Linked DNA regions of Stegostoma tigrinum. The protein of the gene in region 2 interacts with the protein of the main gene of each other region in a pairwise test. Links are inferred from orthologs where the notes say so. Each region holds a gene or a part of one and is shown on either strand. Other genes may lie near its edges.

What was found.
Region 1: the proteins of mbip (region 2) and rap1gds1 interact in binary tests that used the Homo sapiens proteins (3 or more experiments, as listed by UniProt). The two-hybrid records come from large-scale screens. The link is inferred for Stegostoma tigrinum from reciprocal best matches to the Homo sapiens genes MBIP and RAP1GDS1.
Region 3: the proteins of mbip (region 2) and liprin-alpha-1-like interact in binary tests that used the Homo sapiens proteins (3 or more experiments, as listed by UniProt). The two-hybrid records come from large-scale screens. The link is inferred for Stegostoma tigrinum from reciprocal best matches to the Homo sapiens genes MBIP and PPFIA1.
Region 4: the proteins of mbip (region 2) and txlnba interact in binary tests that used the Homo sapiens proteins (3 or more experiments, as listed by UniProt). The two-hybrid records come from large-scale screens. The link is inferred for Stegostoma tigrinum from reciprocal best matches to the Homo sapiens genes MBIP and TXLNB.

What each region holds. Positions count from the first base shown.
Region 1 is NC_081354.1:4,868,788-4,876,476, forward strand, and holds the start of rap1gds1 (rap1 GTPase-GDP dissociation stimulator 1), read right to left. Parts: upstream 3,373-7,689; 5' UTR 3,294-3,372; coding exon 3,290-3,293; intron 3,144-3,289; exon of another isoform or gene 3,071-3,143; intron 1,270-3,070; exon of another isoform or gene 1,185-1,269; intron 1-1,184. UniProt on the Homo sapiens protein: Acts as a GEF (guanine nucleotide exchange factor) for the Rho family of small GTP-binding proteins (G proteins) that stimulates the dissociation of GDP to enable subsequent binding of GTP.
Region 2 is NC_081363.1:56,749,216-56,757,156, reverse strand, and holds the start of mbip (MAP3K12-binding inhibitory protein 1), read left to right. Parts: upstream 1-4,482; 5' UTR 4,483-4,573; coding exon 4,574-4,666; intron 4,667-7,941. UniProt on the Homo sapiens protein: Inhibits the MAP3K12 activity to induce the activation of the JNK/SAPK pathway. Component of the ATAC complex, a complex with histone acetyltransferase activity on histones H3 and H4.
Region 3 is NC_081370.1:62,702,252-62,710,617, forward strand, and holds the start of liprin-alpha-1-like, read left to right. Parts: upstream 1-4,881; 5' UTR 4,882-5,185; coding exon 5,186-5,428; intron 5,429-8,366. UniProt on the Homo sapiens protein: May regulate the disassembly of focal adhesions. May localize receptor-like tyrosine phosphatases type 2A at specific sites on the plasma membrane, possibly regulating their interaction with the extracellular environment and their association with substrates.
Region 4 is NC_081362.1:90,531,431-90,539,319, reverse strand, and holds the start of txlnba (beta-taxilin), read left to right. Parts: upstream 1-4,551; 5' UTR 4,552-4,652; intron 4,653-7,889. UniProt on the Homo sapiens protein: Promotes motor nerve regeneration. May be involved in intracellular vesicle traffic.

The DNA.
Region 1 (7,689 bases), on a different chromosome or scaffold from region 2:
AACGTATTGCCATTCCTTGGCTGTCAATGGATCAAAATCCTGGAATTCCATGTTGGCATTGGGGGTCTATTATTAGCTCAGGGACTAATGAATTTCAAAGCTGAAACCCAACACTACCTTAAGGGCAAGTAGGAATGGGCAATAAGTGCTAGTCCAGTCAGCAAGACCTATATCTCATGAATGAGCAGAAAAATGATTACCAGTCCATATGTTGTCATTTGTGGGATCTTGCTGTGCAGAACTGGTTGTCATGTTTCCTACATTACAGTAACTATACATCAAAAAGTGCTTCACTGGCTGCAAGGCATTTGGGATGTCCTATGATTGTAAGAAGAACTATAAACCAGCAAGTCCTATCTATCAAATCCTCATTGTGCAGAAACTACAACTCACATTACAAGACAACTGAATAACAAGGTCAGAGATAATGGGAACTGCAGATGCTGGAGATTCCAAGATAATCTTCGGTCCGCCTCCCCCTCTCTCCCTATTTATTCCAGTTCCCTCCCCCCATCCCCCTCTCTGATGAAGGGTCTAGGCCCGAAACGTCAGCTTTTGTGCTCCTGAGATGCTGCTTGGCCTGCTGTGTTCATCCAGCCTCACATTTTATTATCTTGAATAACAAGGTCAATTTCTTTTCTCTTCACACTGATTTTTTAAATACAAGGGTGAATGCTTGAAATGCAAATTTAAAGACAATTTAGAACTGAACCCTATTTAAACTGTACAACTTGGCTGAGCAAAACAAAATCAATTATTCTTATTGGCCACACAAACTTCATACTGAACTGAGGAACTGAATAACAAGTCAGCTAGCGGTTTCCTTGGTAATTTGTAGTATCATTAAAAAAATTACAAATCTTGGGAAATGCACCAACTTGAATTCAAGGATTATGTAACTGTAACCTTGTTCTGTTACAGTAAATCCCTAAAACACCATTCCACCACAAGGAACAAAGCAGTAGTCAAGGCTAAAGAACCCAATTCACACAAAAACCAATAGATAACACATTTCTCCAGTTTGATTACAGAAATCTCCTTGTGTACCACATTAGAACAAATTATTCAACTGTCTACATATTATACACCCATCTGAATGGTGGGAGGCAGGCTTTGAGAACTATCATTGTTCAATGCAAAACTGCCCAACAGGCTGATTTTGATTTAAAGCTTTAATTACTTACTGTATTTTCAACTGCTGCCAAAACACTAAAACATGTGCTCTCCACAACAGAACTGAAAACTCCGAAAACACTACATTCTCTTTCACTAGATCATATACAATTGTGCTTAGAAATAAAATTTTGCAATTAGACTATAATTAAGAGCAAGGATACATATGACTGGTTTCAGGAATTTTGTAAGTTTAACAAATTTTGTTGATTGTTAACTTACAATTTATTGCACAATTAAATGTATTTCTTTTCATTCTCATTTTTTCCTCTCAACTTAAATTAATGATCCAACCAAAGCACATAATTCATAAGATTGTACAAATTTGTTGAAACTTCTACTCAGCAATCTTAACCTTGCAACATGTAAAACTTCTATCTAAAATCCCACCTATAATGATACCAAATTTGTTCTGAGCACCTTGGACCACTAAATAAAGTGGCCAGTCAAAATATAGTCAAGGTTTTGCACTGCAAAGTCCAAAAACAGCAATGAGATAGTTAATCTGGTCACTATCTTCATGATGTCCACCTTATTTTGGTCAAATAAATACTTGCTAATGACATGGAAAAGAATTATTTGTCCGAAAGAAACAATCATGAGAAATTACAGTAATATTGGTGGAGATCACGCTGAGACCAGTCAGTGTTAGAAATGCAAGCCACTTTAAGGGGTATCTAGAACAACTCCGGAGTTGTAGAGTAGATTCTGATTGGAAATTGTATTTGGTTTTGGGGCCTTGTGGTGTAGCAGCAGTGTCCCTATTGCTATACCAGGAGTCCAGGATCCAAAAGCCACCTGCTTCAGAGACGTGTAAAAACATTAGATCCAGATACATTTAAAATTAAAATCTCAAATGATCAAAGAAAGGCTGATTGTCTGACTCCTCTTCCCTGTCTCTACAACCCTTTCTTAGGGCTTGTGTAGTGTTCTTATCTCTCAGCTAGGAGGCCCAAGTTCAAGTCCCAACTGCTCCAGCAGTGATTAGGAAATAAAAATCAAATAAAAAATCAAAAGAGTTCTATACTGCATTTCCCCTGTCAGGCTCTGCACTTACACTGATAATTGGAAACACGGGTGAGTTAGCAGTGGCAGATAACAGACGAACATTACGAGTGATTTGGTGGCAGAAAAAAAAGCCGTTCAGTTGTGTGCAAGAGCAGGTCTGGAGAAAAGAAAAGGAGTTGGTTCTCTAGGGCTGCTTGAGTCAGACAGTTTGGGTTCAAGACCCAGGAACAAAAACAGAAGTTGCTGGAAAAGCTCAGCAGGTCTGGCAGCATCAGTGAAGAAAAAAAAAATCAAAGTTAACGTTTCAGGTCTAGTGACCTTTCCTGAGAACTCTGGTCTTTCGGTTTTTATGGGTTCAAGATCCACCTACTTCATAACATCTCTGAACAGGCTTATTAAAAAAAAAGCTGGGTTTTCCACCCCTGGTGGACACGCCCATAACTGATTAACTGATGGATTTATCAAACAGGTGATTTGCTGGTGGGTTCTTCTGGCGCAGAGATAATACCTCTATCTCTGGACTAGGAGATCTAGGTTCAAGTCTTACATGCTCAAGAGCTGTGATAGAACATCTCAGAACAGGTTAATTTGAACATATCTTCGAACTGGATTCTTCATCAGTGGGGAATTGGCTTCTGGACAGGGCATATATGCAGAAGCATAGGTGGAAACTACTGTCAGATCTGCGAGTTTCTCCACCGATTTGCTTTCTTAACGCTGTTGTCCTTCTGTCAAGGATCTATGGACAAGGTTTCCCAAGGTCCCAAAAACCTTCTGCACATCCTACAGTCCCAAGATTCAACACACAATCCCTCGCCTGGGGAGCCCTACCAAAAGTGGTAACGCTTTCACTGACGGATGTGTCACTGCAAATCATCTCAAAGATTACACCGGCTTCCCTCAGCGGCACGTGGGCGCCGCCTGGACTTTCTGCTGGGGCTGGACAGGCGACCAGTTGGCATGCGCACTCACGAGACACACCCCACCCCCCACATGAGACCCATCGCGGAGGGTGGAGCTGACTTTACACATGCGCAGCTCCCCCTGCTAGCGCGGGCGGAGGAAGAGGGCGCGCGCGCGCGCGCACGCACGCAGGCGCGACACTCACCCATAGCGTCGGCGATCCCTCAAACGCTTATTGTAGTCGTCTCTCGCCGACCGCCCCCTCCCCCCCCCCTCTCTCTCTCTCTCTCGCTATCTCTCTCTCTCTCAGCGGGAAGGCCACCGAGTTCCGGGGCCGGTTAGATAACCGAGCGGCGGCAGCTGCTGCTCGGGGGCGGGAAGCACAAGCACGATCGGGGCCTTCGAACCAGCTCCACCGGGCCAGATGGCGAGACACCGGGAAGGGTCTGTCACATTAAACTCCGGCCGGGTTCCCTTTTTTTCCGTTTTGAGTTCGCCGTCGCCGTGTTATTCGGGAGAAGTGCGTGCCTGTGTGCGGATAAGGAAGGTGTGGCACCGTGCCTTCTCTGTCTTTCGCCCTGGATGCTCCAGCTCCCGCCGCCCCAACCGTCTTGTCTTTCTCTCCCTTCGCTCCTGAGCCGCTGCCGAGGCTGCGCGCGAGCTCACAGGCCCCGCCCCCAGACCACTGCCTATTGGCCGAACCTCTACCGGCGTTCTGACCTCTGCCCCGGGTGCGCCTTCCGATTGGACGTCCCTGGCGTTCATCACCGCCCCTCGTCTCGAACGTCCGCCCACCCATTGGACGACACCCAGACTCTCGTCCCGCCTTCCTGCCTCTCCCTGATTGGTCTAAACGTGACGTCTTGTGATTGGTTATCCGAGGTGCTAATCATGGACCGGGTCCATCGGTAACACTTCAGCGCGAGGCTATTCGGCCCCTCTGCTTCTTATGCATGGTTCTATTATCAAGAAAAATCATGGTTGATGTATGTATTAATCTGCTTTTATTGTTTAAATCTTTAGGGTCATAGAGTTTTTACAGCTTGGTTAAAAAGTCCTTCAGACCATCATGTTGGCCTGGTCATCCGTCATTAACCTAAATATTCTAATCCCATTTTACAGCTTTTGACACTGGTGATGACACCCATCCCTCTTGGGAGATGAAGGACTGTGTTCAAGGTACTTCTGTATTGTATTTTGAACAGTATGGCATCAAGTCTAAAGAGCTGGAAGGATCATTGCAAGAAGGAACTTTGTGAAGAGTACTGACCTTTTTGTTAATTTTAAGAAGGTTTGATGTCACTTTCTCATAGTTGCTTGTGAAGAACATCAAGGAGCAGTGTCCGTCCATGCCATGACCTGGATCAATGGGCTGAGGAGTGGCAGATGGAGTTTAATTTAGATAAATGTGAGGTGTCGCCTTTTGGTAAGGCAAACTAGGGCAGCACTTATACAGTCAATAGTGGGGTTCTGGGGAGTGCTACCAAACAGAGACCCTGGGAGAGCAAATTGCTGCAGTTGCTGGAATCTCTACTGAAAGCAACAAATGCTTGAGATCACAGCAGGTCAGACAGAGTCCATTACGAGAGAGAGCAAAATAATGTTTCAAGTCTGATGAAGGGTCATCTAGGCCCAAAAAGTTAGCTTTCTTTCTGTCTATGGATGTTGTCTGACCCACTGTGATCACCAGCATTTGTCGTTTTCAGTCAGAGACACTGGGGCGCAGGCTCATAGTTCTTTGAAGATGGAGTTGTAGTTAGACAGGTTAGTGAAGATGGCATTTGGTACATTCACCTTTATTGGTCAGTGTGTTAAGCATAGAAATTGGGATGACATATTGTTGCAGTACAGGACATTGGTTAGGCCACATCTGTATACTGTTTTCAATTCTGATCTCCCACTATAGGAAGGATATTGTTAAACATGAAAGGGTTCAGAAAAGATTTACAAGTATATTGTGGGGATTGGAGAGTTTGAGCTATAGGGAGAGGCTGAATAGGCTGGGGCTATTTTCCCTGGAGCATAGGAGGCTGAGGGATGATGTTATAGAAGTTTATAAAATCTTGAGGGGCATGGATAGGGTGAATAGCCGGGTAGGGTAGTCAAAAACTATAGGGCATAGCTTTGAGGTGAGGGGGAAAGATATAAAAGGGATCTAAGGGGCAACTTTTTCACGCAGAGGGTGGTGCATATATGGAATGAGCTGCCAGAGGAAGTGTTGGAGGCTGGTACAATTACAGCTTTTAAAAGGCAGCTGGATGGGTGCATGAATAAGAAGGGTTCAGAGGGATATAGGCCAAATGCTGGTAAATGGGACTAGTTTAATTTAGGATATCTGGTCGCATGGACAAGTTGGACTGAAGGGTCTGTTTCCATGCTGTACAGCTTCATGACTCTATGACATTATGAGTTCCATGCCTCAACTTTCTCCAATTCTGCATCCAGATTGAGGCTACATTACCATCTCCATATTCATTGTTAATGAGCCTGAAGATCCATCATCTTTTAACTTCAAGGACAACTGTCATTGAGCCTTGTCTGTTGTGGTTGTAAAGTCCAAATTGTGAGAGGCAATCACTTCTACTGTTGGTGCAAATGAACAGCCTAGTTCAAGGAAAATACAATACAGGTATATGTTGTAAATGCCAATGGTTCTGATTGGCTTTTGTACCCCTCTCAAGTGGTCCCCCCTTCTTCATTTCAGCTCATCAGTATAACATTTGTTTCTTTCTCTATCTCTTCTGAAGCTTCATTATTGAATTCCTGCAATTAGTTTTTGGCTCCTACCATGGCATTGAAAAGGCTCCTATCAAAGTCGCAATTGATATCCTGTTTGATTGCATAAAAGGTAAATTATCTCACCTTATTTGTCTCTACCCTTTTGCGACATTGGTATTGTTGATCACCATTCTCCACTCAGGTCTTCCAACCGTTTGGGGTCACGTGAGCCTTGTTCCATTTTTATCTATCCGTTTGTAGCTAGAATAATTACCTGCGATGGCTTCACAAGCATTCTCACGTGGTTACCTCTGATGCCATTCATTTTCTTGGTCCTGTCCTATTCCTTATTCAATGTTGCCTTTCAGAGATATCATCAGAAAATACAGCATCAGTTTATACATGTAAACTGGTGGCCCCCAGTGCTATCTCACAACAGCCCTTTTGATTCCCCTGTTGCCTCTAATTGTTGTCTCTTATCACTTTTGTGATATCTGGTACTCAATAAGCAGAAATTTCTTCCAATTAAATATTGGGAAATTTGATTCTCACTGCAAACTCTGTTCCTTAGGCACACACTGTATTCCTATCCCTGATGACCTTCTGTGGCTGGAGCTTGCTTTCATATTTGATCCCTCAGTGAGCTTCTGATTGCATCCCTAAGCATTGTCCCTAAGAGAACCGTTTCCACCTTTATTTAATCACACAACCTTCCACTGCCTCCAAACATGCTGGCCTGTGCTTCATTCTCCATTAACTTGTTCCTTGCTAAGTTTTAATTTTAAAATTGTCATTTACCAAGGAAGAAGGTATTGCCTAGGTCCTGGTGAAAGCAGAAGTTGTTCAGATATTTTAAGACACTAATACAATCAATAAGGAGAAGCTAATGAATAGGCTATCTGTAAATTGATAAGGCATTATGACCAGATGACATAGGTCCAGGAAGACTGATGGAAGTAATCATTGAAATTATGGAGATACTGTCTGTAATTTTGTAGTATTTGTTAAACTTGGGTGTTGTGCCAGAGGACCAGAGAATTATTAAATATTAAAATAATATTAAACCTTTGGTGATAAGTCCAGAAACTACAGGTCAATCAGTTTAATTTCAAATCAATTTATAGTCACTTTGAAAAGTATGGGCTAATTTAAGAAAGCCAATACAGATTTGTAAACAGCAAATTGTGTTTAAATTACTTGCTGAAGTTTTTTGAAGAGGTTACAAGGAAGATTGATGAGACTAATGTTGTTAATGTGGTGGACACAGACTTCAAAAGACATGAACTTTTCCCCAGACCTCTCAGTATCTTTACTTATATCTATTTCTTATAATGTACTGCATTAACGACGCTTTTAGTTACAATCTATTGGTTATTAGCTGCTGTAATATCTCCTTATTTAACTCAGTGTCAAGTTTTTTCTTGCGCTTTTGCATGTTACATATGACATTAAAAGTTGCTATGGAAAATGTCATTCATGTTAGCCATGAAACACCCATCTGCTGCTACTATATGTTACTTCCACTGGATATCAGATAAACACCATGACAAACCAAAGGGAATAAGAGAGGTGATATTGAAGAAGAACTGGGTAATGCAAGCACACATGTCAAGTCTGGTGTTGCCACTAACTCCAATTGCTGCACTTCCTTCAAAAATATTTATTCTGTAGAGATACTGCTGCAACTCAAAAGAAATTGGCAAGACTACCTTTGGAGCCTCAAATTATCATATGGATTTTTCTGCCTGTTCACACTGCTCAGCAAAGCAGTTTTAACAGAAGAAAGGCCCTTATCCACTGATTTGAAGCAATAAATGATACTTCTGCACGGCTGCACGTTGAATCTTCTATACGCATACTTGTGCTAGTGTACTAACTACATTTTAT
Region 2 (7,941 bases):
TTGAAGAAGATCAAAAGGAGGCGTTCTTCCCACCGATGTTTTAGCACATTACAATCAAGATTCCTTCAGTATTGCAGCCGCATCATTTACAGGACAATAAGTAATCCTTATCCAAATGCGAATGGACAGAATGCAAACTCTGATCTATTTTACATTAAGAGTTTTGACAGAAAGATCAGAGATAACCAATCACAGAAATAGACAAACTTATTGAAACATATGAGATCTTGAGAGAAATTGATAGGGAGATACTCAAAGAATGATTCTTCTTGTTGGGGAGGCTAAAATTAGGGACATTGTTTAAGAATAAAAGGTCTGTCTTTTAAGACAGTGATAAGAAGAACTATGTTCTTCAGGATCATTAGTAAGACACATGCAGAGGAGGTTCACAAGAATGTCCCAGGAATGGAAAGCTTAACATATGAGGAACGCTTGAGGACTCTGGGACTTTACTCATTGGCATTTAGAAGGATGAGGGGGGATCTAATTGAAACTTACAGAATACTGAATGACCTGGCACAGTGGATGTTGGGAAGATGTTTTCATTTGTAGGAGAGACAAGGACCCAAGGGCACAGCCTTAGTGTAAAGGGAAGACCTATTAGAACGGAGATAAGAAGAAACGTCTTCAGCCAGACAGTGGTGACTCTATGGAATTGACTGCCACAGAAGTCTGTGGAAGCCAGGTCATTAAGTACATTTAAGACTTGGTTCTTGATTATCAAGGGGAACAAGGGTTTCAGGGAGAAAATGGGAGAATGGGGTTGAGGAACTTATCAGCCATGATTCAATGGCACAGCAGACTCGCTGAGCCGATTGGCCTAATTTCTGCTTCTATGTCTTATGGTCTTATTTTCTTCCAAGAAGGCAGTGAAGTTGGATCTTTGAATTTATTTGAGGCTCATGAGTTAGATGGAATTTTAATAACAAGGGAGTCAAGGATTACATGGTGCAAATGCGAAAGTGTAGCTGAGACCACAGCTAAATCAGTGATGATCTTAAGTGATGGAGCAAGTGCAAAGACCCAAATGCTCTACTCCTAAGTCCTATTCAATTGAATTTAAACTTCATAGGCTTCCGTGATGGGTTTTGAACCCATGCCTAATGCTCCAAGCAAAGGCTCAGGTTTTCTACAAATGGGAGGTGAAGTTAACATTAAATTAAACCTATCAAGGTGTTACTGAAGGCATTCTTCTCCAGTGTGAGTACGGTACAAGGTGTGCTTTTGTGTATTGCATAAGCAATGGTTTAGGGAATTTGAAAAGGAGTGGGATTGTATTTGCTGTGTGTTTCAAAATCTCTAAACTTGTATTGTGTGAATAGTTCGGTTTTATTCTATTTTATCTTCATAGCTGGTGTGAAATAAAATTTACTTTACTGTTGAAACCAAATCTGCAACATTGCATGCTTATATTTCAGTTAGAGACCACCTTGTCAAAACGTAAACAAAACAGTAATAACTTCTGGTGGGTCATTCTGGTGGAGGATTGTCTGGGAATTTTTGAATCAACTGTTAATGGTGAATTGTTAAAGTTATGGCTACATGGTGGCTCTGGGCATAAAAAGCAGCTTTGTTGTGGTGAAGTTTATTGTACAGAGAGTTGAAGATGACTCTGAATTTGCTAAGGCTTTTCTGGAATCGAAATTGTAATATCTAAAATCTTTGACAAAATCTAAACACCGTTAGCAGATAAATGAACAGAAGAGCAAACAGCAATGTCCCATAAGGGCGAAATGCATCAAGTGATTATACAATATTTAGAATCAGGAGAAAGGAACTGGGATTAGCAACAAAACGATAAGAAAGGAAAAAGAATTGACTGGAAAAAGAAAAATGAAAAAAAAATTTGAAAATGAAAAGGGAGCAAAATGGAAAGTGAGTAGAGAGAAAACAGGGAGGTAGTGTTCAAAAAACATAAAACAAAAAAAAGGATAAAGAATAACAGAAGGAGATGGATTGAAAAGACTGGAACTCCAAAGAGATTGGGAATTTTTAAAAAAAGGAGTGGGCCAAAAGAAGGCTTAGAATAAAAAAGATAGCAGCTCAGAGGATGATTCTGATTCCAATGAGGGAAATGATTTTATATATGCTTGGTGCCTGAATTCAACAAAATGTATTTTATCTCATTTGAAAAGCTAGTTAAACAGATGAAGTGGCCAAAAGAGGTTTGGATCGTAAAAGGAAGATAAGTGTTTTGATATGTAAAACTATAACTTTGAATGTTCCTTGGTTAAACTGGCACTATATAATGCCTCCACCTGAATTGATGGGAAAGCTTCAGGAGTTCAGCATGCCGTAGTGCGATTATAAATTTGCTGGCACATCTTTCTTTTACCCTGCCTTGGCTGCACTATGAAAATTCAGCCACCAGTGCCAGAAGTAGGTAGTCTTCATAGGCATTCCTCCCTCTCAGGATGTCACCTGTGTCTGGAGTATATTTCACTTCTCAAATGAACATCATACATTGTGCATTTTGGGCAGTATCATGAATGGTAAACCCTTCTGTAACTAGCACAGATGGATGACACTGGGCTGAAGGTAACTTTATTGTCCTTATAATCTGCCACTCCACCCCAATTATGGGCCTAAATCCAGATGGACAACTTCTCAAATTATTGATTTCCCTCCTGAATGGGAACTCATCTCCATAACAATGGCTAGGGTCCAATACAATCCTTGTCGTATGTGATCACTCTCTAGGATTGCATCAGGCGCGTTGTTACATTTCTCTGCACCACTGTCACATGGTAGCAGTCAAACAAAGTTGAAACAAATACAGAAATTGTCGTAGAATCTCAGTAGGTCTGGCAGCGTCTGTGAAGAGAAGATAGAGTCAATGTTTCAGGTCCAGTGACAGTCAGATTTCCAGTATCTGCATTTCTTGGGTTTAGACAATGTTGAATCCTTCATGCTGAGCCATTGTCTGAATTTAACCTCTGTGCATTTGCGTGGAAGAATGAATTTTAGTTGCAGTGCCGTGTCCATTGAGTTTGAGGGTCTTTCTAATATTTCATAAAGTCCAAATGAAGGAAATTCAACACTACATCACGTAACCCCAAGCCCCCACCTACCCCAGGCTGACCTTTGATTCTCTAAACTACTTGTCTTGAAAGTATTCAACGGCTGTACCTACCGCCACCTTCTAGGGCAGAGAACTTCAAAGTTGCACACCCCTCTGAGAGAAAAAGAACCCTCCTCATCTCTGCCTTAAAAAGGGCAAGCCTAGTTTTTAAAACAAAACAGTGCCTAGTCTGGACCCACTCACCTTGTTATGGTTATGAAGATCTTATATTTTTCGATATGCCTCTGTCACTCTTCTGTGGAAAAAGGCTCACTTGTACAATGTAACAAAGTGTGGAGCTGGATGAACACAGCAGGCCATGCAGCATCTCAGGAGCACAAAAGCTGGCGTTTCGGGAGGGTCTAGGCCCGAAACGTCAGCTTTTGTGCTCCTGAGATGCTGCTTGGCCTGCTGTGTTCATCCAGCTCCACACTTTGTTATCTTGGATTCTCCAGCATCTGCAGTTCCCATTATCTCACTTGTACAATCTTTGTTCAAAAGACAACCCACTCCTTCTGGGCATCAACTTAGCAAAACTTCTCAGAACTGCCTCCAAAATATTTACATCCTTTACTATATAAGGAGACCAAACAGTACTCAGAACGTGGTCTCGCAAACTGCAATATAACTGAAACACAACATTTGCACGTACAATTCTTCTTGTAGTAATGGACATGGTTCTATTAATCTTTCAATTACTTGCTGTACAGTTGTACTAACTTATCATGACTCATGCGCAACATAACTCTGCACTTCAGACATTCCATGTTTAACAAAACTCTGCTTTTATATTCTTCCTACCCTTGCGTTTCACAGGAGTCACGCTGCTGGACTAACTGTCAGTTCAGGTACATAAGAGCATCTACCAAATGTTGTGGAAAACTATCTGCAAAAAAGATGGACAAATGCAATTCGGCACTTGTCACCCCATAAGTCCACTCTCAGTCATCAGCAAGGTGATGAAAGATGTAGTCGACACTGCGAACTAATAGTGTTCACTGATAGTTGTCCAGAGCTACTCCACACTGATTACAGCGAAAGTTCAGGCATGCATAAAAGCGATGAAACTTCAGAGGTGAGGAGAGTGGGTGCCTTGAATTGAAACTGCCCTTTTATTTCCTTACCTGGCTGACTTTAAAATTGCGTGCGATAACACTTCGATGAATGGAACATTTTACTGGTTAGACGCTAACTTAGAACCAAGTTACTGGCGGAGGAGATGCAAATATAGAAACTGCTGCAATAGAAACAAGAATCGCCGAAAACACTCGGCTTCTGTCGAGCAAAAAAAATCTCGGTGTTTTTTTTTAAAAATTGTTAAATATGTGACTTTAACTGAAACTTTTAAGACGCGTTAAAAAGAGATTGCGCCCAATATCGGTGATAGATGCAACATATTTATTGCTAGGGAGACGGCCAGAGAAGGTGTGTGAAGTTTCGATCTCAGGCAGTGCAGTGTAGAATGTACCAGTGCCTCCTGTGAGCTGCTCCTGCTCGCCTTTCGCTTCGGTCATGGCGGCCGAGGTAGAACCAGGGGCTGCCGACAAGGAGATGGCCCAGAGCCTGCACACCCTGCTCAATGCGCTCAGCCGCTTCCACCAGCAGGTCTGTTACCGCGCTCCCGATCTCTTTGATTTGAAAAGTCCTGGATCTTCTCCCCGACCTTTTTGTTTGAGTGGGGGGCGGGCAGATAGTCTTCAGGCCCGGGCCCGCGCCGAGCCTGGGCCTGGAGTAAAACGCCAGCCCCGGCTCAAACGGATATTGCCCGAGCTTACGGTGGGGAGGGAGGGTGTGGTTTGTGGTTTCGGCCGCCGAGCACCGAGGTAATTTCAGGCGGATCTGTTTTCACTCGCCGAGAAATGTCTGCCCGAGGAGCTGGCCGTGCGTTTGAGTTAGCGCTCTCTGTTTAAATGACGGTGGAGCGACCTCAGGCAGCATCTTTACACATTGTTTTAGGTAGATACTGGCTTTTCATTAGAAATAATGCACAATTCAACAATAACTTGCTTTGGTGTATCAAAACAACTTAAGGCTTTTCACATTATTATAAAAGTGTAAGAGAGCCATATAGTATCAACATCTAGATTAAAGCGTAAATTTTGGGGTGTTTTTGCAGGTGACCACTCCTTGTTACCTTTTTTAACGACCTTTACCAGAATGTGGTACTTGGTAAGAATTGTTTGAGGTAGTTTACTGTCACCAATCCTTTTGTCTTTGCTTTGTTTTGTTTTGGGCCTACCTAGTGCTTAGTAGTACAGGATATGCCATTGTAGAGTACCTCCAGAAAAACATGGTTTTATACGTATGACAGCAAAGGGGAAAAGGTAGTGTAAGCACAGCTCATCCATCCAAAAGTTAGAGTCGAATTCCTTGCCTCTATTCACAGCTTGACATCAGTAGAATAGGTGGAGCCAATAGAATTAGCAAAACTTCCTTATCAGGATATCATGAAGATGGAAAACTAAGCAGAGAGGGGGAATTCTAGAGTTTGGGGCTGAGGAAACTGAAGATTTGGTCACCAGCAGTGGAGCAATTAAAATCAGGGATGCTCAAGAAGCTAGAATTTGAAGAACACAATATGTCTTGGAGCATTGTGGAACTTTAGGACTTTACAATGATACAGGGGAGCCTATGAATGGATTTAAAAACAAGAATGTGTGTTTTAAAAATCAACGCATAGTATATTGGCTCCCAGTCAAGCTGAGAACACATGTGCAATGGGTGAATGCCACTTGGAGTCATAGAGATTTTGCAGCATGGAAGGAATACCATTGGCCCAACTTGTCTGTGAAGGGTTGAGTAGAAGATGACCTGACAAAAAGACAAAGATGATGTTATGGATTTGGAAATAGGTAGTCGTGTCATTACATGAATATGAGGTAGGAATTTCATTTTGGGTCAAACATGGCAATAAAGCTTAGAACAGATTAGCTTAGAGGGATAAAGCCAGTTGCTAGGCAATGGGATTTGGAGCAGGGGTCAAAAGTGATGACTGTGTGTTTTAATTGAAGGAGATAGTGGTGTGTTCAATACTGGTGTCAGGTATGGAGTGTCTTTCTTTCAATTTCTTCTTAAGATATGTGCGTTGTTGGTGATGCCAACATTAATTGCCTTGAGAAGATGGTGGTGAGCTGTGTTGTTGAACCACTGTAGTCTTTGGGGTGTGGGTACATCCACAGCTGCTTAGCAAAGATTTTGACCCAGGCAACAGTGAAGGAACAGCAATATAGTTTCAAGTCAGGATGGTGTGTAGCTCGGAGGGGTATTTGCAAGTGGTGATAATCCTATATCTCTGCCCTCGGTTTTCAAGGCGGGCAATCTGTTAACAATGGTGAAGTTTAGAATGGTGGTGAGATAGAATTGGGTGTCATCAGAATGTGTGTTAGGACTAATGCCATGCCTTCAGGTGTTGCCACCTAAGGTGAAAATGTAGATGAGAAATAAGAAGGGTTCAAGTCTCCATATTTGGGGATGCTAAAGTCTTAGTGTAGGAAGAGAAATCATTGCAAATTATTTGCCAACCTAAGATAAGAACAAAACCAGACGAGAGCAGCCCGAATGGATGAACATGGAGAAGCATTGGACGAACATGGTGTGGTGAACCACGTTCTCATGTTGTGCTGCATACAGGCCACAGAAGCAAAGTTACTTTTGTCAGTCAAAGAGGATGTTGTTTATTACTTTGATAAGAGCTGATTTGTTAATATGGTTGGTATGGAAAACTAAATTGAGGTCCTCTATTCATGGATTTCTGGGAAAAGATTTGGGAGGTGAAAATTGCTTCACGGATTATGGAGAGAAATGTGTGATTGGAAATGGCACTATAGTGTTCAAGAAGTTTGGTAGATTTTAAAAGAATGGGTAACCACACTGGAAAATCTGTTCGCAACATTGGGTAATATAGGGACTAGGAGAGGAAGTGGATAGTTAGTAGTTTGGTGAGAATGGGCTGGTTGGAGACGTCCTATGGCACAGATGATAATATCCTTGCCTCTGATCAGAAACTCAGAGTTCAGATCTCATCTCAGGACCAGATGGCCAAGGAAGAAATATTCCTAACATTACCAAACAGGTTGAGTTTCAAACTGTGTAATCTTCTAACATATACAGGTGGCAGAAGGTAAGAGCGGAAGAATTCCCTGGTTAGCTATGTGATGGAAAGCAAGTTGGAGTCTTTATTAGAACTACTCACAGATCATGCAAAATACAAGCACAGATATATCCTGCAACACAGATTGATGCCATTGTCATGGTTGTATAACTCCCATTTTCACCGGGGTGGATTTGAGGCTAGCCCCTCCTTGCTCTATATGTGGCAGAGGTCATGACATTGTTAGACTGACCTCTTTTCGGGCAGAGAACTGAAGGAGAGAGATTGCCGGTGCATTGGATGAATCTAATAGACAAGATGAGCTTAGAGAGAGCATGAGGGCAGAGAGGAGAGAAACTATAAAAAGAGATGTGAGTTCAGGAATAGAGCTGGAAGTGGGGGAGCATTATTGGAAGTTTAATCTAGCAGACTAGTAGAACGCAGGGTCATAGCAAAGACAGCAGACCGATCGTCTTGATGAGTTCCCCATGCTGTGGTTGTAATTTGGAGTGGACAGTGAAGGTAGTTAAAGAAGATGGCTTTCTGTCGAGGAAAGAATCCAAGGTTTGGTTTTAGACTCCTTTATCATTGATCCTGAAATTGTAAGCAGTTTAGCAGACATGAAAGCAATATGATAACGTTTTCAGTGGTTGAGTCAGATTTGACAATGGAATTGAAGGACACATGTTTAGTTGTTCTCGTACATGAGTCACAAAATGTTAGTATGCAAGTATGGTTGGTTCTACTATAATGCGTGTTCTGGCAACGGTAATTGGCTACACCGCAACTG
Region 3 (8,366 bases), on a different chromosome or scaffold from region 2:
GAGCATGAAAGATCGAGAAAGTGGCAGAAAAAATGATGCAGGATGGAGACCTTTAGACTTTTGGGGCATTGTGTCAGATGGGACTAAGGACGGCAGGTTGCACCTTTGCAGGATTGGAATGAACATACCTGTTTTTTTCTCTTTTTATTTCAAATTTTCACCCAATAGCTGCAATGTAATGTGGTGTACATAGATTTCCAAAACATGTTGATGAAACAGTGCCGCACAATGACTGGTGAGTATTTTTTGGCCTGGAGAAATGTTTACAGTGGAATTCTCAACAGCTCAGTTTTGGAACTCTTGCTTTTCCTGATATTCATAGGACCTAATTTCCAAATTTACAGATGACAGTGTAACTCTTCAAAAGACATTCACACATTGGTGGAGATGAAGTTCAATATGCAGAAATGTGAGGTAAGGCACTTAGGTACAAATAACATGGAGAGACAGTATAAAATAAAGGATACTATTCTAAAGGCTGTGTAGGAGCAGAGGGAGCTGGGTGTATATGTATGTCAGTTATTAAAGGTGAGACAGGTAGAGACATAGAAACATAGAAAATAGGAGCAGGAGTAGGCCCTTTGGCCCATCAAACCTGATCTGTCATTCATGATGATCATGCTGATTATCCAACTCAATAACCTGTTTCTGCTTTCCCCCATACATCATTTTATGCCTTCAGCCCCAAGTTCTATCCTTCCCTGAAATCATACAAAGTTTGCCTCCACTGCTTTCTGTGGCCATGAAGTCCACAGACTCACCGCTCTCTGGATGAAGAAATGTCTCCTCACCTGAGTGCTAAATGGTTTACCCCACATCCCCAGATTGAAATCCCTGATTCTGGACTTCCTGGTTATTGGTAACATTGTCCCAGCATCTAACCTTTATAGCCTTGTTAGAATTTTAAGCCTTCGCTGAGATCCACCTTCATTCTTCTGAATTCCAGCAAATGTAATCTATTCAGTTCCTCATATATCAGTCCCAACATTTGGAATTCTACCAGAATTAATCTGGCGAGATAGGAAGAATTGCCAATGCTGGAGTCAGAGATAACACAGTGTGGAGCTGGAGGAACACAGCAGGCCAGGCAGCACCAGAGGAACAGGAAAACTGACGGCTCCTTTCCTGCTCCTCTGATGCTGCCTGGCCTGCTGTGTTCCTCCATCTCCACACTGTGTTATCTCTGAATTAATCTGGTAATCCTTTGCTGTACTTCCTCTATGTCAAGAATGTTCTTCCTCAGATAAGGAGATCAAAACTGCACACAATATTCCACTCGCCATCCATTGGCTCCATCTATATTTCTCCCTGCCTCGGAACAGCAGCCAACATAATCAAAGACCCCTCCCACCTTGGTTATAATCTCTTCCAACCTCCTTCATTGGTCAGAAAATACAAAAACTTAAACACATTTACTGACAGATTCACGAACAATTTCTTCTCCCTGTTAGTAGACTTCTGAATGGGCCTCTCAAGTTTCAAATTTAATGTTCTTTGTGCACTTTCTCTACAGCTGAAACATTATATTCCTCAGTCTTTGTATGTCATGATCTGCTGGTGTGCACGCTAAACTTCTCACTGTATCTAGGTACACATGACAATAATAAATCAAATCAAATCACCAAGGTTCTGTATAATTGCAGCAAGACAGCCGTGCTCCAGTACTCGAATCCTCTCGCTATGAAGGCCAACATAACATTTGCCTTCTTCACCTCCTGCTGCACTTGCATGCCTGAAGCATTAACTCTGATTTTTTTCCTTCACAGACGCTGCCAGGCCTGCTGAGCTTTTCCGGCAACTTCTGATTTTATTCCTGATTTTTACTCACCTTCAGTGACTGGTGTACAAGTCAGGCCAGGTCTCAATTCCATTCTCTCAATATAATAGCCATTCAGACAATAATCTGCCTTCTTGTATTTGTTCCCAAAGTGCATAACCTCTCACTTGCCCACATTATAAGGCATCTGTCATGCATTTGTTAACTCATTTAGACAGGGATTAATAAAGAATGCAATATTCCAGGCTTCATTAATACAGGTGTAGAGAACAAGGGTAAGGAAGTTATAATGAACCTGTAAGAAACACTGCTTAGACCTCAGCTGGAATATTGTGTATAGATCTGGGTTCCAAACTACAGAACACAGAACATAGAACAGTGCAGCACAGTACAGACTCTTTGGCCCACGATGTTGTGCTGACCTATTATCCTACAAGGATCAAACTACCCTGCATCCCTACATTTTACTATCCTCCTTGCGCCTATTCAAGAGTTGCTGAAAAGTCTCAAAAGTGTCTGATTCCACTACCACTACCAGCAGCACATTCCACACGCCCACCACTCTCTGTGTGAAGAACCTACCTCTGACATCTCCCCTGTACCTTCCTCCAATCACCTTAAAATTATGCCCCCTCATAGAAGTTATTTCCGCCCTGGGAAAAAGTCCCTGACTATACACCCTATCTATGTCTCTCATCATCTTGTATGCCTCTATCAAGTAAACTCTTGACCTTCTTCACTCTAATGATCAAAGCCCTAGCTCCCTCAACCTTTCCTCATAAGACCTGCCCCCTCCCATCCAGGCAGCATCCTGGTAAATCTCCTCTGCACCCTCTCTAAAGCTTCCACATTCTTCCTGCAATGAGGTGACCAGAATTGAACACAATATTCCAACTGTGGTCCAAGCTGAGTTTTATAGAGCTGCAGCATATCCACATGGCTCTTAAAGTCAATTCCCCTGCCAGCGAAAGCCTATACACCATACACCTTCTTTTCAATCCTTGGGTCGCAACTTTAAGGGATCTATGGACATGGACCCCAAAATCCCTCTGTTCCTCCACACTGATGAGAATCCTGCCATTTACCCTGTATTCTGCATTCAAATTCAACCTTCCAAAATGAATCACTTCACCCTTTTCTGGTTGGATTCTATCTGCCACTTCTTTGCCCAGCTCTGTATCCTGTCGATGTCCCATTGCAACCTACAACAGCCCCCCATGCTGTCCACAACTCCACCAACAGGAAGGATGTGAGCACATTTGAGAAAGCACAGAAGAGTTTTCCAAGGATGGTGTCAGCGATGAGGTTAAATGGAGAAGTTCGGACTAATTTCCGTGGAAAGGGAGAAAGCTGAGGGGAGATTTCATGGGAAATTTTTAACATCATCCGGTCAGAATAAGTCAGGAGAAAATGTTCCCACACATAAACAGATTGAGAACCAGAGAGCACAGTTTTAAAGTGTTTTGCAAACTAAGCAAATGCAAGGTGAGAAATATCTTTTTCACTTAGCAAATGTCTGGAAATGTCACGGAAACAGATTCTGTTGAGGCATTTGGGATCACATTAAATGTTTGCTTGCCATAGTCCATGTAGGTGCCAGCAGCCTGGGTTCAGTTCCTCTACTGTATTTTGTTCAGAAGAAACTGACGTGGAGGAGGGATGTGTTAGCATTGAAGCGTGTGTAGAGGAGATTTCCCAGGGTGTTACATGGGCTGGACAATTTCAATTTTCAAGAGAGATTGAACAAATGGAGGTGGTTTTCCTTTGAGCAGAAAAAATATTGAGCAGGAACATGATTGAGATGAATAAATTTATAAGGGGCATAGATAGGTTACCAGGAAGAAATGTTACCTCTTGATGGGGGGGGCCATTGACCACAGAGTGTAGATTTGAGGTAAGGGGCAGAAGGTTTAGAGGATACGTGAGAAAGAAACTTTTTCACTAAGATGGTGGCAGGAAGCTGGATCTTATTCCTGTAGGAGTGGTAGATGTAGAAACCCCTGTAATATTAAAGAAGTATTCAGATATGCAGTTGTGATGCCAAGGCATATAAGGGTCATTAGTCCCAAAAGGGTCCACAGAACTCATGATCAGAGACACAGAATTTTCTAAGTGGACAATCATCTGAAGGTTTTGGAGTAGATTTGTACCTCGGGTTGTGGGTGTTGAGGTTGGTTGTCTTGGTGAGCTGGTTTCTAAACAAGAGCCCAACTCGGCGAGCCAACTCACCTCACGATAATCTGAAGATTGCAGGAACATCACCTCCCTGGACTGACTTATTCCCTCCCTAATGCCCCAGCTACACTCACCTTCACTGGCTCCATACCTGCCTCTTTGACCTGTCTGTCTCCTCTCCACCTATCTGCTCCTTTATCCATCTTCTATCTGCCTCCCCCTCTCTCCCTATTTATTTCAAAATCCCCTTCCCTGCCCCTATTTCTGAAGAAGGGCCTGGACCCGAAACGTCAGCTTCCCTGCTCCTCTGATGCTCCTTGGCCTGCTGTGTTCATCCAGCTCCACACCTTGTTATCTCAGATTCTCCAGCATCAGTAGTTCCTACTATCTCAGGACAATCATCCTCTTTTGTGAGTGATTGTCACTAATGAAGAGCATGAAAACACTCCTTCTCACCCTTGCCCCTCATCTGAGGCACTGAGACCCTAAGGTTAAACCACCGTAATTCAGCTCTCTCTGTGATCTGAGAGCAACTCTAAGGGACATTGGCAACTTCTTGAAGGAGTAACCCTCCTCCCTCCAGATCTGCAGTTCCTACTATCTCGGCAACGTTATTTATTTGGTGACCAAATGATTACTTAAATAGAAACAAAGTGCAAGGAAATGGTGAAAATGCCGGAGATTGGCAATGATCTCACGGGGCTCATTGAACTGCTGGCGACAGGATGGGCTGAACAGCCTCTTCGCTTCTGACAGAGGAGGAATCTCCCGGGGCGGAGCCAAGGGGGGATGGGTGGGGCCAAGAGGTGGGTGGGGCCTGCAGCAACGGCTGGGTACGTGGGCGGAGCCAGGGACGAGGAGGGGCGGGGCACGGCATGCGCGAGGTGGCGGCGCACGGTGGGTGCGCGCGCGTGCGCGCTGCAGGTCGCGGGAGAGTGCGCGGACATTTTGTCGGGGTCGCGGACGCCGTGCCGGTTGGAAGCGGGAGATGTGAGGAAGCCGGGCCTCGGGACAGGGATAGCAGAGGGACACGGCAGGCTGTGCCGGTGTGTGTGAGATCCGGGACCGTGTGTACATTTACCGACTACCGAGGATCCTGTGTGGAGCCTGGGCCCCGGCCTGCCTCAGCTCTCAGGCCGCTGTTGTTCCCTGAGTCGGGGTCAGTGTTCCCCTTGGCCTGGGGAGAGTAGGCCTCCCCTCGGCCCCCGGCTTCATATCCAGCACCGGCCCACCATGATGTGCGAGGTGATGCCGACCATCAGCGAGGACACGCTGAGCCCCCGGGGCTCGCAGTGCGGCGCCGACACCGAGGCCAACTTCGAGCAGCTGATGGTGAACATGCTGGATGAGCGGGACAAGCTGCTGGAGAGCCTCCGGGAGAGCCAGGAGGCACTGGCCCTGTGTCAGGCCAAGATGCAGGAGGCCTTCCATGAGAGGGACTCGCTTCAGAGGCAGCTCAACACCGCCCTACCTCAGGTAGGGGACGCGGGGGCCAGGTTTACCCAGAACCCCACCTTCACCGCCTCCACCAGACCCCTGCTTTCCCCTTCACACCCTCCACCAGACCCCCCCTTTCCCCTTCACCCCCCCCTTCCACCAGACGCCCCCCCTTCACCCCGTCCACCAGACGCCCCCCCTTCACCCCGTCCACCAGACGCCCCCCCTTCACCCCGTCCACCAGACGCTCCCCCCTTCTCCCCCTCCACCAGGCGCTCCCCCCTTCTCCCCCTCCACCAGGCGCTCCCCCCTTCTCCCCCTCCCCCCTTCTCCCCCTCCCCCCTTCTCCCCCTCCCCCCTTCTCCCCCTCCCCCCTTCTCCCCCTCCACCAGGCGCTCCCACCTTCTCCCCCTCCACCAGGCGCTCCCACCTTCTCCCCCTCCACCAGGCGCTCCCACCTTCTCCCCCTCCACCAGGCGCTCCCCCCTTCTCCCCCTCCACCAGGCGCCCCCCCCTTCTCCCCCTCCACCAGGTGCCCCCCCTCCAACCAGGCGCCCCCCCTTCGCCCCCCCCCTCCACCAGACGCCCCCCCCCTCCACCAGGTGCCCCCCTTCGCCCCCCCCCCCTCCGCCCCCCCCCCTCCACCAGACGCCCCCCCCTCCACCAGGCGCCCCCCCTCGCCCCCGCCCCCCACCTCCACCAGGCGCCCCCCCCTTCACCCCCTCCACCAGGCGCCCCCCCCCTTCACCCCCCTCCACCAGGCACCCCCCCTCCACCAGGCGCCCCCCCCTTCACCCCCTCAACCAGGCGCCCCCCCCCTTCACTCCCTCCACCAGGCGCCCCCCCCCTTCACCCCCTCCACCAGGCGCCCCCCCTCCACCAGGCGCCCCCCCCTTCACCCCCTTCACCCCCTCCACCAGGCGCGCCCCCCCTTCACCCCCTCCACCAGGCGCGCCCCCCCCTTCACCCCCTCCACCAGGCGCGCCCCCCCCTTCACCCCCTCCACCAGGCGCGCCCCCCCCTTCACCCCCTCCACCAGGCGCGCCCCCCCCTTCACCCCCTCCACCAGGCGCGCCCCCCCCTTCACCCCCTCCACCAGGCGCCTCCCCCACTTCAGCACCTCCACCAGGCGCCCCCCCCCTTCAGCCCCTCCACCAGGCGGCCCCCCTCCCCCCCTCCACCTCCTCCACCAGGCCCCCCCCCTCCACCAGGCGCCCCCCCCCCCCCACCAGGCGCCCCCCCCCCTTCACCCCCTCCAGCCCCTCAACCAGTCCCCATGTTCCCCCTCCACCCCCTCAACCAGTCCCCGTGTCCCCCCCCCACCGTTCCCCTTCGCGCCTTCAACCAAATCCTCCCGGTTCCCCTTCGCCTTGTGAGGCCGCCCTCACTCCATCAAACTACCCCACTCCTTCAACCGACCTCTCTGTTTCATCCCAACCCCATCTGCTGAACCAACAATCCACACCACCCCCCTATCTTCACCCCTGTACTAGACTCTATCACCTACCCAACCCTCACGCAGGCTCTAATCAACACCACCCCTGACACTCAACCAGCCTGTAACCAAGAACCCCATCCATCACCCTGATCCTCTCCCCTCAATTCTTGTTGCCCACCTCGATTTCCCCCCTCAGGTCACCGCATTCCCTTTTCTTCCCTGTGCCACCTTCGCGCTGTCATGTGTGGTCTTTCTCTCTCTCTCTCTCTTTTTCTCTCTCTCTCTCTCGCGCGCGTGCTCTCGCTCTCTCTCCCTCTCCCTATCCTCCTGATACTGTACTTTCCACAAAGCTGCAGGATGAAAAGCTGAGCGCTTTGGTTTCATAAAACAAAATCGTCTTTTTTTTTCTTAAACTTGTCCAAATGCTTCAAGAAGGGAACCTTGTCTCCGCTAGTTGTAGATCATTTTGCTGTTCCATTTTTTGGCCACTTTGTTTGTTTCTCTGTAGATCATCTTCCCCCTCCACACCCACAACTATCCTGGCCTAAGGCTGCTTTTTGCAAATTCATGGAGTAGGTCTTCATTTCTGTTGGAGCTATATCCTATCACTGTCACAATACAAAATATTTTAATGCTTATTTTTATTACATACATTTTCGACAAATGTTTGGTGGAGTGGTGACACTGATTCTCAATATTTTGAGAGAATCTGTAAAATCTGAAGTGAGATGTCAGTCTGGCAGGTATTGAGTGTTATGATGTGCTTTCCTCATGGTGACACAGTTAAGGTTATAGCTCACCCCTAAACTTTTGAGGAAACTGTTTATTACTAAAAATGCATTGTTGATAAGAGTGCTACTTGCCTTCAAGGAAGATTTGATGATCTGACATTTCAGTGCTGTTGTCTTGGGCTGCTGATCATGTACTTGCATAATCAGATTAAGAAGTGTTCCCAGTTTTTTGGTGAAATGTTTGCATATTTTGGATTTGCTTCCGTTTATTGTGTAATAATATTACTAATGAATCCTTAAAATAGTTAAATTGAACAGGCTACACAGATGATGTAGATTGTCATTGTGGTCATCATAGAAACTGATTGGAAAGGCATTTTCAGTGGAATGGAATGGAGTGGAACCAGTTAAATTTAAATGCGATATAAAGCTTCTATAACCCACAATTCTAAAATAGCACATTCTTCTCGTGTTCACAAGTGTTTCAGTTTTAATTGTATTGTCTGTTTTTGTATTTGATTCGTGCAGTCATTTGTCATATTGTCAGCACAACTAAATTGGCATCATGTATATGTTACAGTTATAACTTCTATTGTTAGGCTTGATGAACAAAGGGAACTTTGGTTTTAAATAGATCACCACAGGAAATATTGGACAAACTACTCTTTTGCCACAACAGACTGTTGTCCACCCCTGCAGGTAAGTAATCATTTGCCCTAAACAAATAATAAAACATAATTGCATCAATCAGTAAAACAGAGCATTTACTTTTATCATGTTTTACTATTCAGCTGTCATATTGAAGCTG
Region 4 (7,889 bases), on a different chromosome or scaffold from region 2:
CTCACGTACCACCCCATTAAACTCCAAATCCAATGCATCATCCTCTGGCATTTCCGCCACCCACAACCAGATCCCACCACCGAAAAACCATTCCCCTCCCCATTCCTGTCCACTTTCCACAGAGTCCATTTCTTCCATGACTCCCTCATCAGCTCTACATTCCCCGCCAACTTCTCCACCACTGCCGTTAAAGTGGATGGTAACCGCAACTGCAGGAGTTGCAACACCTGCCCCATGCCTCCCTTCTCACCTCCATCAAAGGCCCCAAACAATCCTTCAGAATCTGGCAGAGATTCACTTGCACTTCATCTAACCTCATGTATTGTATCCATTACTCCCGATGTGGCCTCCTCTATATTGGGGAAGCCAAATACAGAGTTGGGGAATGGATTGCAAAACATCTGTGCTCTGCACGCAGCAACCAACCCGACCTTCTGGTTACCATCCACTTTAACTCTCTCTCCCACTGTCCTGGTGACATGTCCATCCTTGACCTCCTTCACTGGGGGTACATCACCTCATATTTTGCTGGGAGCTTACAGCCTATTGGCCCTGAATATCAACTTCACCAACTTGAAAATCCCATCTCCTCCAGCCTCGCCAACTTCCAACTCACCTATCCACTCCACCCTTCCCAGTGACCCACCACAATAACCCCCTCCCAGCATCCACTTAGCTCCATCCCACCTACTCTTCCCCCCAGCCCCATGGCCATCCATCTATTTATTTCTGGGCTTGCCTCCCCAGCCCTGATGAAGGGTTTTCAGATCAAAACATTGACCTTCCTGTTCTTCGGATGTTGTCCGACCTGCTGTGCTTCTCCAGCTTCACATTTATTGACTCTTGTTCCAATCTCTCTCTTAAAAGAAACCAGGACAAAAATACACCTCTTAAAGCCACAGCATCGTCACATGCCTAACAAAGATATTTAACTTGTAGAATTCCAAATACCATTTACTTCCTTTTGAGCCTCTAATCAGGAATGCTGTACAGATCCTTACCTCCCAATGGATGCTGCAACTGCCGGCTCACCTTCCAGCTCCCTCCTCCTGCAGCACTTCACTTACCAGGTTTGAATTGCTTTACCATTAAGTACAGTTTCTCCTTCGTTCACTTTATGAGTTTGTCTACAGGCCAATTTTTTATTCATATGTTGTAGGCAGCCACCTGCTGTGTGTATGAGTTGTTCTTAAAACCATCAAGTACTTAACAATTGGAAGTTTCTACTCATGAGTCCATTGGAATGCTCATCACTGTTATCTTCTTCAAAGCAACCTTACTACCTGAAGAACTGATGCTCTCTTGTTGATCACCATGTTGCATGGGCTGTGATGCCAAACACTGCCAACTTGTGGTTGGGGTAGTCTGCTGTCACCATCCCCTTGCAAGGCTCTTGTTTGAGCCTGAAGGTCTACAGTGTGATAGAGGGAAAATCGCGCGTGGGTTTATTGGAGATTTCACCAAGATTTAATTGATTGCATGATGGTAATTGGGTAAGGGGGATGTCAGTAAGATAAACTTTATTAGTATAACTATGTGGATCCCTGGGATATAGCTCTCCATTCTACAAGATACTGAGCTGTTCAGACTTTTCCCTATCATCTGTGTGACATCACAGACTCCACTAACAACAGTGTGGGACTACCTACAGCACATGAAACTGCAAGTGATTCGCCATCACCTCCTCAAGGGCAACAAGGGATGGGCAATAAATGCTAACCAGCTGTAATGCCCACATCTCACGAGTGAATTTTTTTAAAAATTGGATGGAACTTAACGCAGTCTCTAATATTTAACTCTTTACACCCGTTATTTCACTCAACACCACATTCTTCTACAAAGACTGCTGTAGGAGCTGTTTTTTGCACCTGAGAGCCTCATTTTAACATCTCACCTTCAGTAGTGCAGCACAGCCCCAGCATTGCTGAGGGAGTGTAAACCTGGATTTGGAGCTGAAGCAGGAGCTGATCTCACAACCTTCTGACTGAGAAGCCCAGCAATGGCTGACTGGAATGGGTGGATTATTAGTTCCTCCAATTGGCAAAACCAGGGCCGTGTGACTTTGGAGCTCCCTGCCTCGGAACGCAGTGAAGGTGGGATCATTGAATGTTTTTGTTGCAGTGGAGGATGGGTTGCCACTCAGCAAGGGATTATCGGGTAGGGGGTTGGGTGGATCCTGAAATTCAAACTACAAACTGTTCAGGCATGCACTAATTGAATGGTGAAGCAGACCAGAAGAACTGAATGGCCCCTCCAATTCTGAATCTTCGTAACTAGTAGGAGGCAGTGGCCTAGTGGTATTATCACTGGACTGTTAATCCAGAGACCCTGACAAAATTCCGGGGACCTGAGTTCAAATCCCACCACAGCAGATGGTAGAATTTGAATTCAATAAATATCTGTGATTAAGAATCTAATGATGATGATAAACCCATTGTCTATTGTCAGGAAAAGCCCATCTGGTTGACTGATGTCCTTTAGGGAAGAGAAGTGCCATCCTTACCTGGTCTGGCCTACATCTGACTCCAGACCAACAGCAACATGGTTGACTCTGAGATGCCCTCTGGGTAATTAGGGATGGCGCCAATAAGGCAGCCTGGCTAGCAACGCCCTCATCCGTGAATGAATAAAAGGGAAAAAAACTCCAGATCAGCAGATTGCATTCCCCTCCAGCTACACCAGACTGAACTCATCCTGAAAGATGGTAGTTTCCAAATGATTTCAGTGTCACGATACGAGTGGTACAGGAGACAGAGGATGTCTAGCCCCTTGAAGCTTATCCAGCTTGTAGTGTGAGCCATCTGTAGCTCCGCACCACTCAATGCCCCCATCCTCCTCACTCCAAATGCCTTGATATTCAGTCCAAATCTATCAATCAGTTGGAGTCTCTACAGCAGTAGCAGTTGATCCTCAGCACTCACTATTAGGCAAGTGATTTCATGTTTCTGCTATCCTTAAGGGAAATCAATGTTGTTTAACCAAACACTGATGCACATTTCATATTTTACAACATGCATTCCCTGTTCCCACTTTGTCATTGTTTGCAGGTGATTACTAGAGAATGACACAATTCAAAGCATTGAAGCAAATTGACTCTGTTGTTAATTCATTTTTTGTGTACATTCTCTGTGTGTGTGTGTGTGTGTGTGTGTGTGTGTGTGTGTGTGTGTGTGTGTGTGTGTGTGTGTGTGTGTGTGTGTGAGATAATGTATATGAGGCTTCATGTGGAAGCGTGTGTGTGCAAGGATGTGTTTGTAAGGACGTGTGCATGAGGATGCGTGTATAAGGGTCTGTGTGAGTGGGTTTTTATATACAGATGTGTAAGGCTGTGTTTGAGGGTGTGTGTATGTGAGGCTGAGTGTGTGTGTGTGTGTGTGTGTGTGTGTGTGTGTGTGAGAGAGAGAGAGGGGAGATGTGAAGCTGTGTGTGTATGTGAGGGGTGGTGCAAGGGTGTGTGTGTGTGTGTGTTGTGTGTGTGCGCGCACGCGCGCACATGCACATGAATATTGAGTGTGTTTTGGTGAGTGTACATGAATATGAGTGGATACAATGACTTGTGTGGGTTTTGGTGTTTGTGTAAGTGAGTGGGAGTATGCCTATGTTGTTGTGATATGTCTGCAGTTTTGAGAGTGAGAGCATATAGCAATATTGGAGAAACAACTCCACAGAGTGAGTACATGCATACATACACTCATCCTGGTCACCAAGTCACCCTTTATTTACACATGAGAAGCCATTGACACTGACCCAGCTCTCTCAGAGCAAGGAGGCCCTCTGACACTCCTGTTTATATCTATCAGTGAGGGCTCCCTGATTGGACCAAGTTAACAGTCCCAATCAGAGAACTCATATTCTGTGAGGTCCAACTGGCTGACCTCATTACAATCATTACAACAGGAGCACACAGGAGCATAGTAGATCATTCAGCCGACTGAGATTGCTCTGCCATTCTAGATCATGGCTGAATATCTCCTTGAAGGCCATTTTCTTGCACTGTCATCACCTTCCCTGATAACTGAGCTTCATGTGAATATGAGCATTTGTGCATGCATGGATGTGTGTGCCTAAGTGTTTGAATAATGTACATATGTGTCAATATGGGTGTATTTGTGTGCGTGTGCATACGTGTCAATATGCATATGTGTTAATATGTGTGAGTTTGTGTGCACACGCATATATGTTTCAATACACATATGTGTCAGTATCTTTGTGTATATGTGTGTGGGCATATGTGTGTGTGTGCATGTGTGCGTGTGTGCCTGTGCGTGTATATGTGAGTATGTGTGTGTGCACGCGTGTGTGTTTATATGTGTATGTGTGTATGCCTGTGTGAGTATGCAAGTCTGCTTAGCCCTGCCAACACTGTCATTAGTGCCTGCAACATGACTCTTCATGTCACTTAAACACTAGTGAGCATTCCAAAACAAAAATAGAGAGCCGCGCATTGGTGGGGAGACAGAGCTGTGATTTAGTTGAGTCATTCCAGGGATCCAAGGACTAGGACTGGTATAATCTCACAGGCCCTTCCCCCTCACTCACTGTTGGCCTGGTGTATTTTTAGCTAATATTACTCCAGCCACGCAGCTTCCTCAGCTGTTCTGTCACTCCAGAAAGTGAGTCTGCCTTCACCAAGTTACACAGCCCAGACTAAGGTGAGTTTACATCTAACTTCTCAATCTGTTGCATGCACAGAAAACAAAGGCAGTGTTGTAATAATATCAGTATTAAAAGACAAAACTAACTTAATCTCTGAATTTGAGAAGGTATAATTGCAGAAATTGAGAGCACGAGGGAAGTTACGGGTGCTGACCCTGTTTTGTCCAGATGTTTTGTTCAGTGGGTACCATGCTAACAAATTTAAACCTCAATTACGCTCCTTCATTTTACAGGCACTATGAAGTAACGATAAAATCAATCAAACAGTCAATAATAAAGATTTTAAATCAGTAGAACTGTGTCACATAGTGTAATTGAGAACATTTAGGTCTCAGGCGACTGGGGGCTAGCCAACGTTATTCCTTTGTTTAAAAAAGGCAATAGAAGTAATCCAGGAAATTATGTCAGTCATAGGGAAATGGTTGGAAAAGATTCTTCGGGACAGACTTTATTCACACCTGGGAAAGTATGGACTTATTAGCTATGGGCTGCATGGCTTTGCGCAGGAAAGGTTGTGTCTCACAAACTTGATTGCATTTTTGAGGAAGTGACAAAATGATTGACGAGGGCAGGGTGGCGGATGTTGTCTACATGGAGTTTAGCAATGCCTTTGACAAGGTCTCTCGTGGCAGGCTGATACAAAGACATGGGATCTGCAATGAGTTGGTCAGATGGACACAGAGCTGGCTTGGTCATAGAAGACAGAGAGTAACTGTGAAGAGTGTTTTTACTGACTAGAGATCTTCGGCCTGTGGGGGTTCCGCAGCTATCAGTACTGGGACCTCGGTTGTGTGTAATATATATAAATGATTTGGAGGAAAATGTGGGCAGTTTCATCAGTAAATTTGTGGATGACACAAAGACGGGGGGAGCTAGAGACAGTGATGAGGATTGCCATAGGATACAGCAGGGTATAGATAGGCTGGAGACTTGAGAGGGGAAATGACTGATGGAGATTAATCCAAACAAACGTGGGATGATGCAATTTGGGAGATCTGATGTAGGAGATAGGTAAAAGGTAAATGGAAGAATCCTTAATAGCATCAACATACAGAGGGATCTAGGCCCACAGTTCCCTGAAAGTGGCATCACTATTGGATAAGGTCATCAAGAAGATATATGGCACACATCATTGCAGCAGAGAGTACAAGATTTGACAAGTCCTGTTGCAGCTGTAGAGAACTTTAATTAGGCAACATTTAGATTATTGCATACAGCTCTGGTTTCCGCACTACCCAAAGGACATGGAGACTTTGGAGAGAGTACATAATAGGTTTGGTAGGATGTTGCCTGGTTTAGAAGGTATTATGAGGAGAGATTGGACAAACGCGGCTTGTTTTCACTTGAACTTCAGAGGCTGAGGTGTGACCTGGTCGAAGTTTACAATATTACAAGAAGCATGGACAGAATGAATAGTTTTTCCCAGGGTAGAAATGCCAATTATTAGGGAATAAGCCAAAAGGAACGAATACAGAAGTTGCTGGAAATACTCAGCAGGTCTGGCAGCATCTGCGAAGGAAAAAACAGAATTAACATTTCAGTTCCACTGGCCCTTCCCTCAGTTCACAGATGCTGCCAGACCTGCTGAGCTTTTCCAGCAACTTCTGTTTTTGTTCCTGATTTACAGCTTCCGCAGTTCTTTCGGTTTTTATTAAGCCAAAAGGGTTAAGTTTAATGGAGATGTGAGAGGGAGGTTTTTTTACACAGAGAGTGGTCAGTGCCAGGAATGAGCTGCCAGAGGAGGTGGTGGAGGTGGACGCAATAGCAACATTTAAGGGGCATCTTGACAGAAACAGGTGATTCTCCAAAACCCAACAGTTGCATTCTTTTGTGACCTTGCGCCATAGAAAATCATGTTATAGGGAAATCGCTGTAGAAAATCATTATACTTGTACAGCAGAAAGTTCACATTATCCAAACTGCATCCACTATTCATCAATCGCGTTACAGTCAATTTGCATTAACAAAACGCGTTTTATGGCAGAACTAGCCCACAGATAGTAGGAACTGCCGATGCTGGTGTCAGAGACAACACAGCGTGGAGCTGTAGGAACACAGCAGGTCAGGCAACATCAGGGGAGCAGGAAAGTTGACATTTCCGGCCAAGACACAACTGAAGGAGGCTGGTACAGTTAAAACAATCCCCTGATATCTCTGTAATCATTTGAATTTTGGACAACTGCTATTGCCTTTACTCCACATTTTGCTACCACACCTGTAGTCATCGAGGCCCTAAAGCCTGGAAGCCCCTCACACATCTTTCCATCTGCCCATATTTCATTCCGACATTGGTTAGGCCACGTTTTGGAATACTGCATTCATTTCTGGTCTCCCTGCTATAGGTTGTTAACTTTGAAAGGGTTCAGTAAAGATTTACAAGGATGTTGCCAGGGTTAGAGGCTTTGAGCTATAGGGAGAGACCGAAAGGCTGGGGCTATTTTCCCTGGAATGTTGGAGGCTGAGAGTTGATCTTATCGAGGGGCATGGATAGGCTGAAGAGCGAAGGTCTTTCCCCGGGGTAGGGGAGTCCAAAACTAGAGGGCATAAATTTAAGGTGAGAGGAGTAAGATTTAACAGGGACCTAAGGAGCAACTTTTTCATGCTGTGGGCAGTGCGTGTATGGAATGAGCTGCCAGAGGAGGTGGTGGAGGTTGGTACAATTACAACATTTAAAAGTCATTGGGACATGTGCATGAATAAGAAGGGTTTAGAGAGATATGGCAAAAACTGGCAAATGGGAATAAATCCATTTAGGATATCCGGTCAGCATGGATGAGTTAAGCCAAAGGCTCTGTTTCCATGCTGCACATCGCTACAACTCTGTGATTCTGTGAGCCCATTAACATGTTTCTACCACTTTGATAGAGATGCACTGACTCAGAGATGAGGGTGCTACCAAACGAACAACGGCTGATGTATAAATCGGCCAAACTAGGAAGTGCTCAGATCTTGGTGGGTTGAAGGGAGGAGGAAAGGGGGAATTACAGAAGTCGTGGGAGCAAGGCAGAGGGTCCTTATTAAAAGCATTAGGTCACGCTGACCCTAGCAAAACAACGAAAGCCAGAGAATTCCTATAATTTAAAAAGGCCTGAGATCCAAATCCAAATGCAGTTTGCGGCCTGCAGTCCCAGGTGTTCATGTCTAATGTGCCATTCTCTTTGGTGTCAACATAATTTCACTTTGAAAATGTTGCTGCGTACATTTTACACCAATATTGGTAAAACTGAGTTGCC